2 linked regions of the Canis lupus familiaris genome follow. The protein of the gene in region 1 interacts with the protein of each later gene in a pairwise test. Links are inferred from orthologs where the notes say so. Each region holds a gene or a part of one and is shown in the gene's direction. Other genes may lie near its edges. The genes, in order: CCDC158 and GPSM1.

Region 1 (7,622 bases):
CACAAAGCATAAGATCGCCCTTGTGAAAAGCTTTTTCACCCCTCATCCTGAAATGCTTCTTTGCCTTCTTTATAAGCTAACTAGCTTACCAGCTGATTCACCTTTATAACCCCAATGTGATAAGACTTCACTAAATTTCCATAGTCTCAATGACTAAAAATTCCTCAAGCTTAAAGTGCCAGCACACCTTACTCTTCTGTAACATAATATTTTTGTCACAATGTTAAATGCCTGTGTGTCCTCAAACTCTACTGAAGAATTTAATTCTAACCTCAGTAATTTAGCCAAAAATTTCATGTTTTACATTATTTTGCTTTCCTAGGACACTGCACTTTCATCCTTCCAGAAACATATGGTACACAAAACATGGGCAAAATCAAACATACAGATTTAAGATCCTGGTATTTGACAATGAGAAAGGCATTCTTTATTCTTCCTTCAGAGAAAATCCTAGAATCCACTGCCTAGGTCTTCTGAATGTGGCATATTCTTTCTCATTCCCTAAATTGACTTATGAACAACTTTTTAGATTTTCCTGTTTCTTTAGGTAATTAGGTCTCCGTTGTGCTTTTTAGATCTTTGTTTTGGTCATCTTCCTCTACTACTTTAAATTTCAGTTAATTAAATCAATACATGGTGAGTAATAATCTACTTTGTGATTCTTATTTACTTTCTATCTTTCTCTTTTTTTGTTCCTTCTCATTTTATTACCAGAAAAAAAAGTAGCTATTTCCCTATAGTCAATGATTTTTAATATAAAGAGTTGTGGAATCATCACTGTGATCTATTTTAGAACATTTCCATGACCTCGGAAAGAAACTTCGTACCCATTTATATTCACTCTCTACTCCCATCCTTAGCCTCACACAGAAAGAAATTTACTTCCTATCTCTACAGATTTGCCTCTTTTGAGTGGTGTCTATAAATGGAATTGCATAATATGTGTATTTGTGTGTGTCTGGCTTCTTTAACTGAGCATAATATTTTTGAGGTTAATCGATGTTGTAACATCTGTCAGCATTCAGTTCCTTTTTTCCCCTAAAACAGTATTCCATCATATAGGTATACCATATTTTATTTATCCAGTTGATGGATATTTGGATTTTTTTCCCACTTGGTGACTATTGTAAACAATGAGGCCACGAACATTTGAGTGTGTCTTTTTTACAGAAGTGTTCTCATTTCTCCTGGGTACATATACTTAGAAGTATCATTGTTGGGTGATAGAGTAACATTTTTAAAAACCGCCATATTTCCAAAGTGGCTACACCGTTGTACATTCTCACCAGCAACATATAGCAAGGTGTATTTTTCACTTCCATGGAGTGACAGCTTACGTAGGACAAGCCAGGGAACTTTGACTAAGAAGAATTTTTCCTGCACTTGAGAGATGGGAAGATGGGAGATAATTTTCTTCTCTGCCACTTTCTGAATCTATTTTCTATTCCACATGCAGTTAGAGTAGGCATCAACGTGTTCTGCAATCAACATCATAAAGTTAAAGTGAACACTGACTTGCCAAGACCTCCCTCATTATGATGAAATGCTACTCCTTATGCTCACATACACCCAAACATGATTTTTTAAAATGCTCATTAATCCCTACTCGTACAAAGAGGCAAATACCTTCTTCACTTGCTCTTTTTAAGTAAAGTTCATTGCTCCATTATTCAGAGTTCAAAAAAATGAACTCTGAAAAAAATGAACAAACAAAAAAGGAATAATGCCTTTTGCATTGTCATATTTGAATGTGAATTAAAGAAGAGAGGACCAGAAGCATATTTAGCTTCTCTTGAATGGCCAATTTCATGTGGCTGACAACATGAATTATATTATGTAAAATCTATTCATTATTCTATCCATTCCTGATCATGCTGAGGTTTAGGTTGGCCAGGCTAATGGCTGTCACATGAAGCTACTATCTGTCAATCTTCAGTGAACTTCAACAAAAAACAGGGAAACTGTAAAAAGACAACAACATAGTGAGTCAAAGCATATTCGTTTTCTTTTTTTTTTTTTTTAAGCATATTCATATTGAGGGGAATGGCTTCAAAAGAAGCTTCTTGCTTTGAATTTGGCAGTGGTACAAGTTACTTTAAAAACACTGCATTTTACTGTCAAAAAGTCACTGTGTTATTTTGAGGTTGGGATGGATTAGAAATTATACTATATTTTATTGCTTGCTTAGGTGCCGAACCTCATTCCACTGCCATGGTATAATGTCAAATATGCTGGACTGAAAAACAGTATGTTGTCCACTTTCTTCTCGTGTATGTTTATCATATGAACTCAGAAAGAATAGAAACCTCATAAACAAAATTCTAGAAAAGAAATCTGCTCAGAGAGCTCCCAAAGAATTAGATTTCCCTGTCTATTCTGCACAGGGGAGCACATTTTCCTTAACCAGTAACCTGTAGAGCCTCTAGAAGAAAGCGATCTACAGAACAAAAGAGACATTGGATTGTCCTCTCAAAGGGGAAGAGAAATTTTCTTGTAGCTTGATTCATACAGAAAAAAGAAGTGATGATAAAAACAGTGTGATTCATCAACTCATTCAGTGAAGAAAGAGGAAGGCAGTCCAAGAATGAATTTCTCCTTTTCTTAGCACCCAAGAAAACGTAGGTCTAAGATACTACTGGGGCCCTTTGATTCGAATCCCGTGGCGGAGTGGAAAGACCAGAGACTTTGGAATCAGATTCACTTCAGGCTCAGGCTTTTCCTTAGTTAGCATTCGCCAAGGGGTGCTAGTCTTGGTTGGGGTTTCCCCAGAAGCAGACTCCAAGACAAGAGTTCAAAAGCAAGTACTAGCGTATCTAGAAAGTGCAGAAAATCGAGGGGGAAGTGGGCGGGGAGGCAGGAGAGGCACAGTCCACACAGAAGCCCTTGCAAGCCAGCGCAGCCAGCGCAGCCAGCCCAGCCCCGGCCACCGGGCAGCTCCCACCACGCGGCGCAGAGGCAGCGAGAGGAGAGGCCACGCCAGAGCCCGACGGTTCTCAGCTTAAGTCGGGCACGTGGGGAGGGTTGCTCCGAGCGTCCTTAAACAGGCAGCAAAGGGGAGGCAAAATAGAGTCCTTAACCCAACAGACGAGGATGCTGACAGTTGAGGATGCTGACAGTTGAGGATGCTGACAGTTGGAGGTCAAGCCAACATGCCCTGACGTGAAAGGTGAGGGAATGGGACGTGGCGGTGCTGGTCGCTGCAGGTGGTAGAAGCAGCAGCAGAGAACACAGGCCCTTTGGGCGCAGAGACCTTGTTTGCTGTCGTTTCCTCCATGCTGTCATATTTTAGGCATTTGATAAATAATGTGTGGACCGAACATGCCAGTGAACACATGAAACAGCTTTAAATCCAGGCTCTATCATTTAGGAAAAATCTTTTTTCAATCTCTTTTTTCATTTCATCAAATTTCATTCTACAAAACCATAAATAAAAGAACTTAACATAGTATCTATCCAACCCACAGTAGAACTGAGTGAATATAAATATTGTTACTATGTGTCCATTTCCTGCTTTCTACCTGCAGTCCTCCCCTCTTTATTTTGCCTTCCCTTATCAAGAGGAAAGCTGACTGCAGTACCCTACAGTGCCTGGGTCCAGAAATGGGCACTACACCCTGGCACACTGTAAGGGCCCACACCACAGTTTCTTCTTCTTTTTTTTTTTAAAGATTTTATTTATTATTCATGAGAGATACAAAGAGAGAGAGAGGCAGAAAGAGGCAGGCAGGCAGAGGGAGAAGCAGGCTCCCTGCGGGGAGCCTGATGCGGGACTAGATCCAGGACCCTGAATCACACTTGAGCCAAAGGCAGATGCTCAACCACTGAGCCACCCAGATGCCCCACCACAGTTTCTTCATAAGGTCAAATGCATCGACTTATATATGCACAGAAAGCTGTGATAGTAATTCTTACAAGACACTGCTAAGCAACTCATTTAAGTGTAAATGTTGAGTCAAGAGCACCAGGATGCAACCATAATGCAATCCTGAAGAACAAAACTAACTTTCCTGCTACTTATACTTACCTAGGTCAATGGTTGTCTGGTTTTTCACCTGCTACTCAAATGTGAAAATATGAAGAATAACCCCCTGCCACCACCAAAATCCAAAAATGAAAGTGTCAAGTATTTTCTGTGAACTCATTCTCCAAAATTTACTCACTGTCCCATTCCTTTAATATCCTATCTTGGCTCCCAATATGTGTATTTATTGCTGGAACCCAACCAGATCCTGTGTCTGAATTCCAGCAGCTCACTCCCCAGTTTCCCTGAGACAAGGCAACCCCCCAAAATGTGAATTTCTCAGAGGACCACACACAAGATGATAAAAGCTTAAATTATGCCTATACAACTTCTTCCATTAAAAGTTTCAACTTTTTAAAGCAAAGGAATAAGACAGTTACTTCTAGAAGTTTAATCTTTCTTCCTACTTTCTAGCAAACGTGTGGTTAGAATATAATATAATACCCAAAGTGCTAGACACTTAACTTAGTCCAACTAACCTGAAGAATACTTACTCCACTTAAATTGTCTTGTGTTTTAATTCCGAATTCCTGCCATAATTATCTTTAGTCTTGAGATCTTTACAATTCTAGGATCTGTCTGAACTATTGCCAGGAGCCAAGAATGGATGAGGGATGAGGCCAGTTGAACTAGGCACTACTAGGCAGCAATGGCTTTGAACAATTGTGTGTGGAGGTCTCAGGATTATTCCAAGGGAACATACTATTAGGAGAGCTAGAGAGTATGCCTTTCAGGGAGGGTGGGACTAATGAGTCATGGAACCAGAGCAGATGGGTTAAGCATGAAGAGAGTAAGCTAAGCAGCAGACCAAGCCAAGAGCACTGGCTATTAAGGAGTGATATGAAAATACTCAGTAATTTGTTTATATCATAAAGTAAGCAAGAGCTAGAAAGGGACAAATGAAATAAAGTTAGTTACAATGGAGACTCCTCCATGGAAGACCATCTGTTGTGGAGCTGATCTCCACCTCGCTGGAAGGCATGAACTTGAAGTACCCTAGAAAATCAGTGCTCTATCAGCATGAACCTCAAGCCTGAGGTTGTATGGATAAACTAAGTGGATCCAGCCTCTGTTAGCTTTCGACTGTTTCATGTTTTAGTGTTTTTCCTTGGGTAACTGACCTGATTTGAGAGTTAAGGTTTTATTTATCATGGCCTATCCAGGTGACAGAATGTATGCAGCCCAAGAGTTAAGCCCCAGGGTTTAGGCTGATGGGCAGCAAGAGTTTAAGTCAACTAAGGAGACAAAAGCCTAAGAGAGAAACAAAGGCACTATTGATGACTGTACATTAAGATGAAATACAGCAAAATCCCCATTGAAAAACAACAATCAGTGAGGTGAACTGAGACCAAGGTTAGAACACCGCAGAAGTACAAAGGCAGGAAGGAGGGTCTGGGAAGATGTTGGGAGGCCAATTTAATTCCTGAGGTTGACATCGCAGGAATGTTCCTCATTTCATGGTACTAGCTACCTTCAAGATGCCATTGAGCTACCTGATTTTTTTCCCCACAGTTCACACATCCCACTCCTTCTACCAGTTGATCGTGACTTTGGGATGAAGTAGATGGAGGTATTCTTTGGAACTGCACAATGACAATGCAGCTTTCACTTTCAAAAGTATTTCTCAAGCTTACATTTTTTTTTTTTTTAAATTTTTTTTTTTATGATATGTCATATTTATGATAGTCACACACACAGAGAGAGAGAGAGAGGCAGAGACACAGGCAGAGGGAGAAGCAGGCTCCATGCACCGGGAGCCTGACGTGGGACTCGATCCCGGGTCTCCAGGATCACGCCCTGGGCCAAAGGCAGGCGCCAAACCGCTGCGCCACCCAGGGATCCCTCAAGCTTACATTTAAAGAAGTCTTAGATTAGGGATCCCTGGGTGGCGCAGCGGTTTAGTGTCTGCCTTTGGCCCAGGGCGCGATCCTGGAGACCCGGGATCGAATCCTACGTTGGGGTCCCGGTGCATGGAGCCTGCTTCTCCCTCTGCCTGTGTCTCTGCCTCTCTCGCTCTCTCTGTGTGACTATCATAAATAAATAAAAATTTAAAAAAAAGAAGTCTTAGATTAGTACCTAATTAGTTCTGCCAGCTTCCCGTTTATCTATAAAATGTAAATAATAATGGGACCTCTACCTCACAGTTCTGTGAAGTTTATGTGAGACAGCATGCCTGTTGCAGAGCAGGACCTCAATAAGATTAGTCATATTACTGTGACAAAAGCAACCCCAGCAGATCTTGTTGGCTTGAAGTGATAAATAACCCTCTAATCAACAGTTATGTGATAGAGGGATCCCTGGGTGGCGCAGCGGTTTGGCGCCTGCCTTTGGCCCAGGGCGCGATCCTGGAGACCCGGGATCGAATCCCACGTCGGGCTCCCGGTGCATGGAGCCTGCTTCTCCCTCTGCCTGTGTCTCTGCCTCTCTCTCTCTGTGACTATCATAAATAAATTTAAAAAATTAAAAAAAAAAAAAACAGTTATGTGATAGAGAAAAATGTCTCCCAACTAATCAAAACAAGAATATTTGTGATTTATTTGTATATCACTCCATAAATTATAATAAACTTTGACAGTTGTCTTTTGGAAGGCCTTATCTTGTTGTAGACCCAAGAAGTACCGTAGAAATCCATGAGGGAGAGAAGAGAAGGTGGCTTCAAGAACCAGCACTAAAAATCTCCCAGGGCTTAAATACACACCATGAGTCCGTCTTACCATAAATAGAAGAAGACTCATAGTGTGATGCACACTCACATCCTATACTGAAACTCAGCCCAAGATCCTCCTAAAACCTACAATGTGCAATATGATCTGACCCCTGACTACCTTTCCATTTTCATATCATACCACTCTCTCTCTTGCTTATTTCTATAGACTATGTGCCCTCTCTCCACCTGACTTCATGTGTTGAAACCTATTTCCCCAATGCGATGGTATTTGGAGGTTGGGGCCTTGGAGGTGATTAAGTCATGAGGGTGGAGCCTTCATGAGTGAGACCTGTGCCCTTAGACCCCAAAGAGCTCCCTCACCCGTTTGGCCATCTGTGGGCTAGGAAGCCAGCCCTCACCAGACACTGAATCTGCAGGCACCTTGATCTGGGGCTTCTCAGTCTCCAGAACTGTGAGAAATAAATCTCCATTGTTAATAAAGCACTCTGACCATGGTACTCTGTTAAAGCATCTGAACAGACTAAGAAACTTACTATAATCCAATAATACTGACTTTATTTTTGTTTTGAACATTCCAAGGCTCTACTGTCTATCCCAATGTTTAAAAAAATTTTTTAAGATTTTATTTATTTATTCATAGAGATGCAGAGAGAGAGGTAGAGACACAGGCAGAGGGAGAAGCAGGCTCCATACAGGGAGCCCAACGTAGGACTCGATCCAGGGTCTCCAGGATCACGCCCTGGGCTGCAGGCAGCGCTAAACCGCTGAGCCACCGGGGCTGCGCTATCCCAACTTTCAAACCTCTTTGAGTGTCTGATTTCATATTTCCCATCCACCAGGTCTTAGTTCAGATGTGACTTTTTAAAAAGATTTCATTTATTTATTTGAGAGAGAGAGAGCATCAGTTGGCATAGGAGTAGAAGGAGAGGGAGA
Region 2 (6,976 bases), on another chromosome or scaffold:
GATGCGCAACCTGCGGAGGAAGAGGTGCGGTGGGCAGTGGGGCAGGGGCCGTGGAGGTCAGGGTCTGGAGGGTCTCGGGCCAAGTGGAGGACACCTGCCTGCCACCTCCTCACATTGCTGGGCCCGTGTGGGACCTGCCCGTATGTGATTCAGGATGCTGTGTTGGGCACCCCCTCACTGTGCCCCTGGGCCCTTGACACAACCTCTCCCACGGTGATGGTAAGGACACATGTCTAGGCAGGAACGCTGGGCTGGGGAGGCCACTCCCCCAGTCGTGTCTGTCAGCCAGCAGGGTGTGCTGGGCTCAGGACCCAGCAATGTCAGACTCCAGGCCCCCGTCCTCCCAAGTCACCTGGGAGGAGAGATCACTCAGCCGCATCAGAGAGCTAGTGCCAGCTGGGTGAGGACGAGCCGCCCTTAGTTAAGGAGCCGTCTGCACGGTGGTGGCCAGGCCAGGGGATGGCTGCTGGGGGCTCCTGCCATATGGCATCCGATGTACCTTCCCAGAGTGTGGTGGGTAGGAGGCCGAGACCCTGGACCCCAGCTCTCCGAGAGGCCACCCAGGCTCTGCTTGAGTCTGGAGGGTGCAGGGCAACGCCAGGTCCTGGAGCCCACTCTCCACTGGGGAGTCCAGGCTGGGCCAGGGGCACTGTGACGGAGACCTCCCACAGAGAGCCCTGAGTCCGTGTGGTGTGGGGCTGTTTGGTACGCCGTCTTGTTGGAAATGTGTAAAGTGCCCATTTTCTTGACGATGTGGGAGTCAGGTGGACAGGGCACTCTGGTTTGTATCAGCAGGCTATGTGGGCAAAACGGCTGAGAAGTATGGCTGTGGGCAGATTTGTTTGTTGAGAGGATATGTGTGATTCTCCTCCAGTAACTGCTGGTCACTGGGGGGACATGGCCAATTTGGTGTGGACACCTTGAATTACCCTGCAGGCTTTCCCTGGACCCCGGTGACTGGGGTTGGCCCTTGGCCATGCAGAACGTGTCTCTCACTTTTCCAGGGCCATGTATGTGGCCACTGGGCCCCTCCTGCCACCTGCCTGGGTGCCCTGCAGCCTGGAGCCCCACTCTTCCCACCCTAGGGCAGGGCAATGTGCCAGGCCTTGAGGCTGGAACCCACAGGACCAGCTGGAATAGGGCAGAGGAGGAGACCGAGGTTCTAGGTGGTGATGTGTCCTACCCGGGACCCCACAGCAGGGAGAGCTGGAACCAGGGCCAGCCTGATCAAGTGACTGCCCACACAAGGCTCTTCTGACAGCCCTGTCCTTGGGGCAGCTCACCCAAGGCCCAGGGGTCGTGGGGCCCGCAGTGAGCAGGGCCCAGGTAACAGCTGGGGGGCTTGGACCCCACCTTGGGGGCTAGCAGGGCCTAAGGGTAAGGGGCTGCTTCTCTGAGGCCCCTGCCCAAAGGTCGGGAGAGGAAGCCTCCAGCAAGGGCACTGGTTGTCCCATGGAACCCCGGGCTCTTGCAGTTGGGCTGGGTTCAGGGCCAGGAACCTGGAGCAGTTTCCCACGGGTCCAGGGGTCGTCCATCCCGGGATGGGCCCTGTCATGTCCTCTTGCAGTAGCGCCATGGGGATGGGGAGACCTGGGAGGTGACCAGCTGAGCACTTAGCCCGTGGGGCTGGCTGACCCTTGGCTCCCATACAGCCATGCCCCCGAAGGATGGGAGGCGAGGACAGATGATGGCTGAGCCCCCAGCTGCCCACAGAGACCTTGGAGGGCGGGGCCCACCCTAGGACATAGGATGCAGTCAGCTCCTGCCCATGTGGCCTTGACCAGTTTTCTCTGAATCTCCCAAGGCCTCGGCTGTCCTGGGTGAGAATCAGGGCCTGCCACGGGCTGCTGTGGCTGCTCTGGAGGAGGGACGTGGCCCCAGGCCTGGGGGGCCCTCGTCCAGGTGCCCGAGACTTCTTGAAGGCTGTGGCCACCGTGGCCTGAGGGTCTTGCTATGGTCACAGACTCATGCCTCTTCCTGGGCTGAGCCCCGGGAGCGTGAGGGGTGTGCAGTGCAGCTGGGGCACAAGTGAGCCCACCTGGGGACAGGCACAGCACTGGAGCTGGCACTCGCTTCCAGGCAGTCCTCCAAAGACATTTCCGACTGTGTGCACAGGGATGGAGGGGGCCACCGCTCCCCGAGGGCCTCGTGGTCCTGGTGACACCTGGGCAGGGAGCACAAAGGCCCCGTGGGACCACGCAAGAGGTAGGCGGTGACTTGTGTCCCCTGCGCGCAGGATGGAGGCCTCGTGCCTGGAGCTTGCCCTGGAGGGGGAGCGTCTCTGCAAGGCTGGGGATTTCAAGGCGGGCGCGGCCTTCTTTGAGGCAGCGGTGCAGGTGGGCACCGAGGATCTGAAGACGCTGAGTGCCATCTACAGCCAGCTAGGCAACGCCTACTTCTACCTGAAGGAGTACGGCCGGGCGCTGGAGTACCACAGGCACGACCTGCTGCTGGCCCGGTGAGGTGCCCTGCGTGTGTCTGGGGAGCTCAGGGTGCCCAGGACCCCGGGGCGGGGGGGGGAGGACCGCACAGTGCCCCCGGCAGCGCATGTTGTCTCTCTGTCGGCCCGTGTTCCCAGCGTGTCCGCCTGCCCAACTCCGGAACCCCGTGCACACCTGTGTGTGGGCTCCATAGGCCTCACTGTTCTCTGGCCTCCAGGCCTGGGCCCGAGCTGCTCTTGCCCTGGAACACGCTCTGCTCCTCCTGTACGTGGGCAGTGGGTGCCCCACAGGCCCTTCCCTGGCCAGCAAGCCCCTGACGGCCCCTGACACCCAACCAGCCTGTCAGAAGTTATTCACACCACCGGGCCCCATGGCTCTCCCGGGTTCCATCCGGGCACCTCCCCAGGCCCTGACAGTGGCAGGCTGGGCCCAGCAGAGAAGTGACCCTCCCCTGCTCAAGCAGGGCTCCCGACCCGAGGGGCCCTCCCCACCCACCCCAGAACCTCAGCCCAGCATGGCCCCCATCGGCCCAGGGCTGGTCCTGCCAGGCCTCCCCTACCCTCACCTGGGCTTCCTGCAGCCCGCAGCATCCTGAGCCTGGCCTTTGGCCTGGCCGCACACTGCCCCCTGCCCTCCAGGACCATCGGTGACCGCATGGGGGAGGCCAAGGCCAGTGGAAACCTGGGGAACACGCTCAAGGTCCTGGGCCGCTTTGACGAGGCCGTCGTCTGCTGCCAGCGGCACCTGGACATCGCCCAGGAGCAGGGGGACAAGGTGGGTCAGCAGCTTCCAGGGCAGCTGCCCCTCCCAACCCCATGACCCGGGGCCTCATGGGAGGAGGATGGAAGAGTGACCCCTGACACACTGCAGGGCTGAGTCCCTAGCTCCCCATCCCCCATGTCAACTCTTCCTCTCACCGACCTCTCCCAGTCTGGCTCCAGAGGGAGGCAGGGTGGCGTGGCAGCTGGGGATAGAGTCGCTCTGGGCCTAGCTCTGTGCCAGACCTTAGGCTGTCCCACTCAGTAACCTCCCTCCATGACCCTGTGACATAAGCACAGACGAGGAAACATGATGGCTTGCCCCACGTCGTATCTCATGGCAACCGGGCCCGGCTGGGAGCGCCCTCCTTCCCCTGGCACCACACAGAGGCCTGGCCACCCTGACGGCAGAGACTGAGGGCTGTGGGTACCGGATGTGGCTGCACCTCCTCTGCTGAGTCGGTCCCAGGGTCGTTTGGTTGCCTCATCCTCTGTCCACAGAATGGCAGTCACGTGCCAGCACCCCCACCCCTCCTTGGGGCCCCAGGCCTACCTCAGCATCCACACTTGCCTTTGGGGCTGTGTCTGTGGGTCCCCCCAATGTCGGTGCTGCCCTCAGGTCGGGGAGGCGAGGGCACTGTACAACATCGGCAACGTCTACCACGCCAAGGGCAAGCAGCTGTCCTGGAATGCTGCCCAGGACCCCGGGCACCTGCCACCCGACGTCCGGGAGCCACTGCGCAGAGCCTCCGAGTTCTATGAGTGAGTGGGGCGGACAGGGGCACCTGCAGAACCAGCGGACCGGGCTTTGTCCACGCTCTCCTGGCGCTTCCCGGGCCACTGCCACTGGCCCAGGCCCAGAGCACCCATGTCCACCCCATCACCTCTCCACCAAGCCCGCGTGGTGCTGGCCAGTTGACTCTCCTTCCCCACCCCCCCCACTGGCCCCGTCCTCAGGGCCTGCGGGGAGTGCACCAAGCCTCCTGCCGCTTCCCTGTGCGTCAGTCCCCCACCCAGTGCAGAGAAGCAGGGAAAGCACCAAGCAGAAGCCATGGGTGGCGTTTAGAAAGCACATGGCTGGAAGGGGGGCAGGGACATCGGCCAAGCCTCGTGGGTGGGAGAACCTTGCCCCTGAAAACCAGAGTGGGGCAGGCGAGCCCCGGATGCAGGCCTTGGAGCTCATGGTACCTGCTGGCAGTGGCACCAGAGCTGGGGGGCCCACCCTGAGCGGCCCTCATTCTGGGGCACACTCCTGGGAGGAACCGAGCAGAGGACACCTGTCCGTCACCCTCTAGGCTAGGCGGGTGGGTCACAGGGCCCCTGCTTCCCGGGCATTGAGAGGGACACAGCTCAGATGGATGCGACCCCCAGGAGGAATCTGTCCCTGGTGAAGGAGTTGGGTGACCGGGCGGCCCAGGGCAGAGCCTACGGCAACCTAGGCAACACCCACTACCTGCTGGGCAGCTTCATGGAGGCCACAGCCTTCCACAAGGAGGTGAGTGCACTGTGGGGCCCCCAGCCACCGTGTCTGTGCGTCTGTCATCCACATCGGGTCCCGCGGCTACTCTGTAACCACCCAGCCTTGGGTCTGTATCCTCAGCGCCTGGCCATTGCTAAGGAATTCGGAGATAAGGCAGCCGAGAGGAGGGCCTACAGCAACCTGGGGAACGCCCACATCTTTCTGGGGCGCTTTGACGTGGCCGCCGAGTACTACAAGTAGGCAGGCCTGCCCCCCAACCCCTGCCCACCTCCCCACCCACCCCCACCCCTGCCCGCCCCCACCTGCCCAGCCCGGGGGCCAGGTGGGGGGTTCTGGCCTGTGTCCTAGGGCTATCAAGGGCAGAAAGCACCACAGCCCCTTCCCTTGGTACGTGCTGGCAGAGGCCACTGTGTGCCGGGGACACAGTTGGCCACAGCTCGGGGCTTTCTGATGCTAGCTGTGGGGGGGAACCCCCAAAATGTCTTTACTCCCCACGATAGCTCTGAGTGCACGTATGATCCTTGTACGGACTCAGAAGGTCAGGACCATGTGGGCTCCTGGGAGTCCCTGACCTGTGCCCGGGGAGCCCTGTGAACCATCTGCAGAGCGGTGGCCACCATGTAGAGACTGGGTCATCGGCCCCAGGTCCCGGGCTGAGCTTTACCATCCTGAATCAGGAGCCCGGGCTGGGCTGTGTTGTCCCCCAGCCCTCTATGGAGACTCTGGTGGGATCCTGGGGCTGAGGTCACAGAGCAGGTGGGCTGCATCTGCATCGCCCACTGCCCACCCCTCAGATGAGGGCCATGCACAGTGCCACGCCCCCTCCATTTGGGACTGACCCTCTGTCCTCTCTGCAGGAAGACACTGCAGCTGTCCCGGCAGCTCAAGGACCAGGCAGTGGAGGCACAGGCATGCTACAGCCTGGGCAACACGTACACGCTGCTGCAGGACTACGAGCGCGCAGCTGAGTACCACCTGCGGCACCTGCTCATCGCCCAGGAACTGGCTGACAGGTTAATGGGGGGTGGGGGTCAGGCCTGGCCCACAGGCCTCCAGACAGTCCTTGAGCTGCAAACTGCTTTCAGCGTGGCCCTGCCCTGCTGCCGAGCACCAGGAGGCCTCTCCGAGCAGGACGGCCTGCCTGGCCTCAGCCTCCCTCTGCCATTGGGCCATGCCGTCCCGAGTGGGACCGCATGAGACCAGGTGGGTGCCGGCTGGCCACCTGTGGTGACCGTCAGGGTAGGCTGGTTGGGGATCAGCCCCCTGAGCACCCCGTGTCTGCGTAGCCTCAGTCTCTCAGGAGACACAGAAGTATCCTACATGCATGGGTGTGGGGTGGGCGGCCAGGGCAGGGGCAAAGGGGCTGCTGGCAGGCTACTCTGTTGGGAGGCTCCAAGTGGCTGGCCCTTGCTCTGGCGGGCGATGGCGCTCTGGAACTAGATGGTGACGGCTGTGGATCAGAAGTACACACAGAGCTGAGCATATGCCCAAGTGGTTAAATTTATGTTTTGTGATTTTTCACCTTAATTGAAAGATTGATGACCTGAGGGACTGCCCCTACCTCCTGCCCCCACACCCAAGGGTGGAGGAGAGCCTCACTGGCTGGTAGGGGACAAGCGAGACCCGCAGGAGCCCCAGGCCTGCCGGCTCTGCTCCTGTCACAATGGGCCCGAAAACCGGGGGCTGGTGGGTGGGCTGGCGGGCCTGGGGGCTACAGATGTGAACTCAGTGTCCCACCCTGGCAGAGTGGGTGAGGGCCGGGCGTGCTGGAGTTTGGGGAATGCCTACGTGTCCATGGGGAGCCCGGCGCAGGCCCTAACTTTCGCCAAGAAGCACTTGGAGATCTCCCAGGAGGTAAGCCAGGCCCGCCCTCCTGCCCTCCCCAGCCAGTGCCTTAGCGGCCCTTGGAGGTCTCCAGGCGCTGCCTGGCCCACTTTGGACCAGGCTAGGTGCCTCCGTGCACTCTGGGCTCCTGCCGGCACTCCTCCTCATCCTCTCCAGGCTGTTGCACGCTGGCCCTGCCCTCAGAGGCCTAGTGGCTGCTTCTCTGCCGTAGCCAGGGGGTGCGACAGGGGAGGGGGCCCTGTTTGCACCCCTAGAGTGTTAGCATTCCCTGTGGGCCGACCCTTGACCACGTCCTCTGTCCCTGATGGAACTGGGCCGGGCCAAGGTGGAAATGACCTGCCACAGGCAGCCCAGGGCACGAAGGCATGGCCGCCCCTGGGGGCCCCTCCTTTGCAACTCCCTAGCTGGACATCTCCTTAGGGATGGGACAGGGTCTCTGAGGGCCTGTCCAC

What was found.
Region 2: the proteins of CCDC158 (region 1) and GPSM1 interact in a two-hybrid assay, tested with the Homo sapiens proteins (2 studies listed by BioGRID and IntAct). The link is inferred for Canis lupus familiaris from reciprocal best matches to the Homo sapiens genes CCDC158 and GPSM1.

What each region holds. Positions count from the first base shown.
Region 1 is NC_049253.1:39,111,547-39,119,168, forward strand, and holds the start of CCDC158 (coiled-coil domain-containing protein 158), read left to right. Parts: upstream 1-2,945; 5' UTR 2,946-3,166; intron 3,167-7,622.
Region 2 is NC_049230.1:49,137,818-49,144,793, reverse strand, and holds part of GPSM1 (G-protein-signaling modulator 1), read left to right. Parts: intron 1-2,236; coding exon 2,237-2,458; intron 2,459-3,079; coding exon 3,080-3,215; intron 3,216-3,818; coding exon 3,819-3,961; intron 3,962-4,570; coding exon 4,571-4,694; intron 4,695-4,799; coding exon 4,800-4,915; intron 4,916-5,536; coding exon 5,537-5,692; intron 5,693-6,424; coding exon 6,425-6,533; intron 6,534-6,976. UniProt on the Homo sapiens protein: Guanine nucleotide dissociation inhibitor (GDI) which functions as a receptor-independent activator of heterotrimeric G-protein signaling.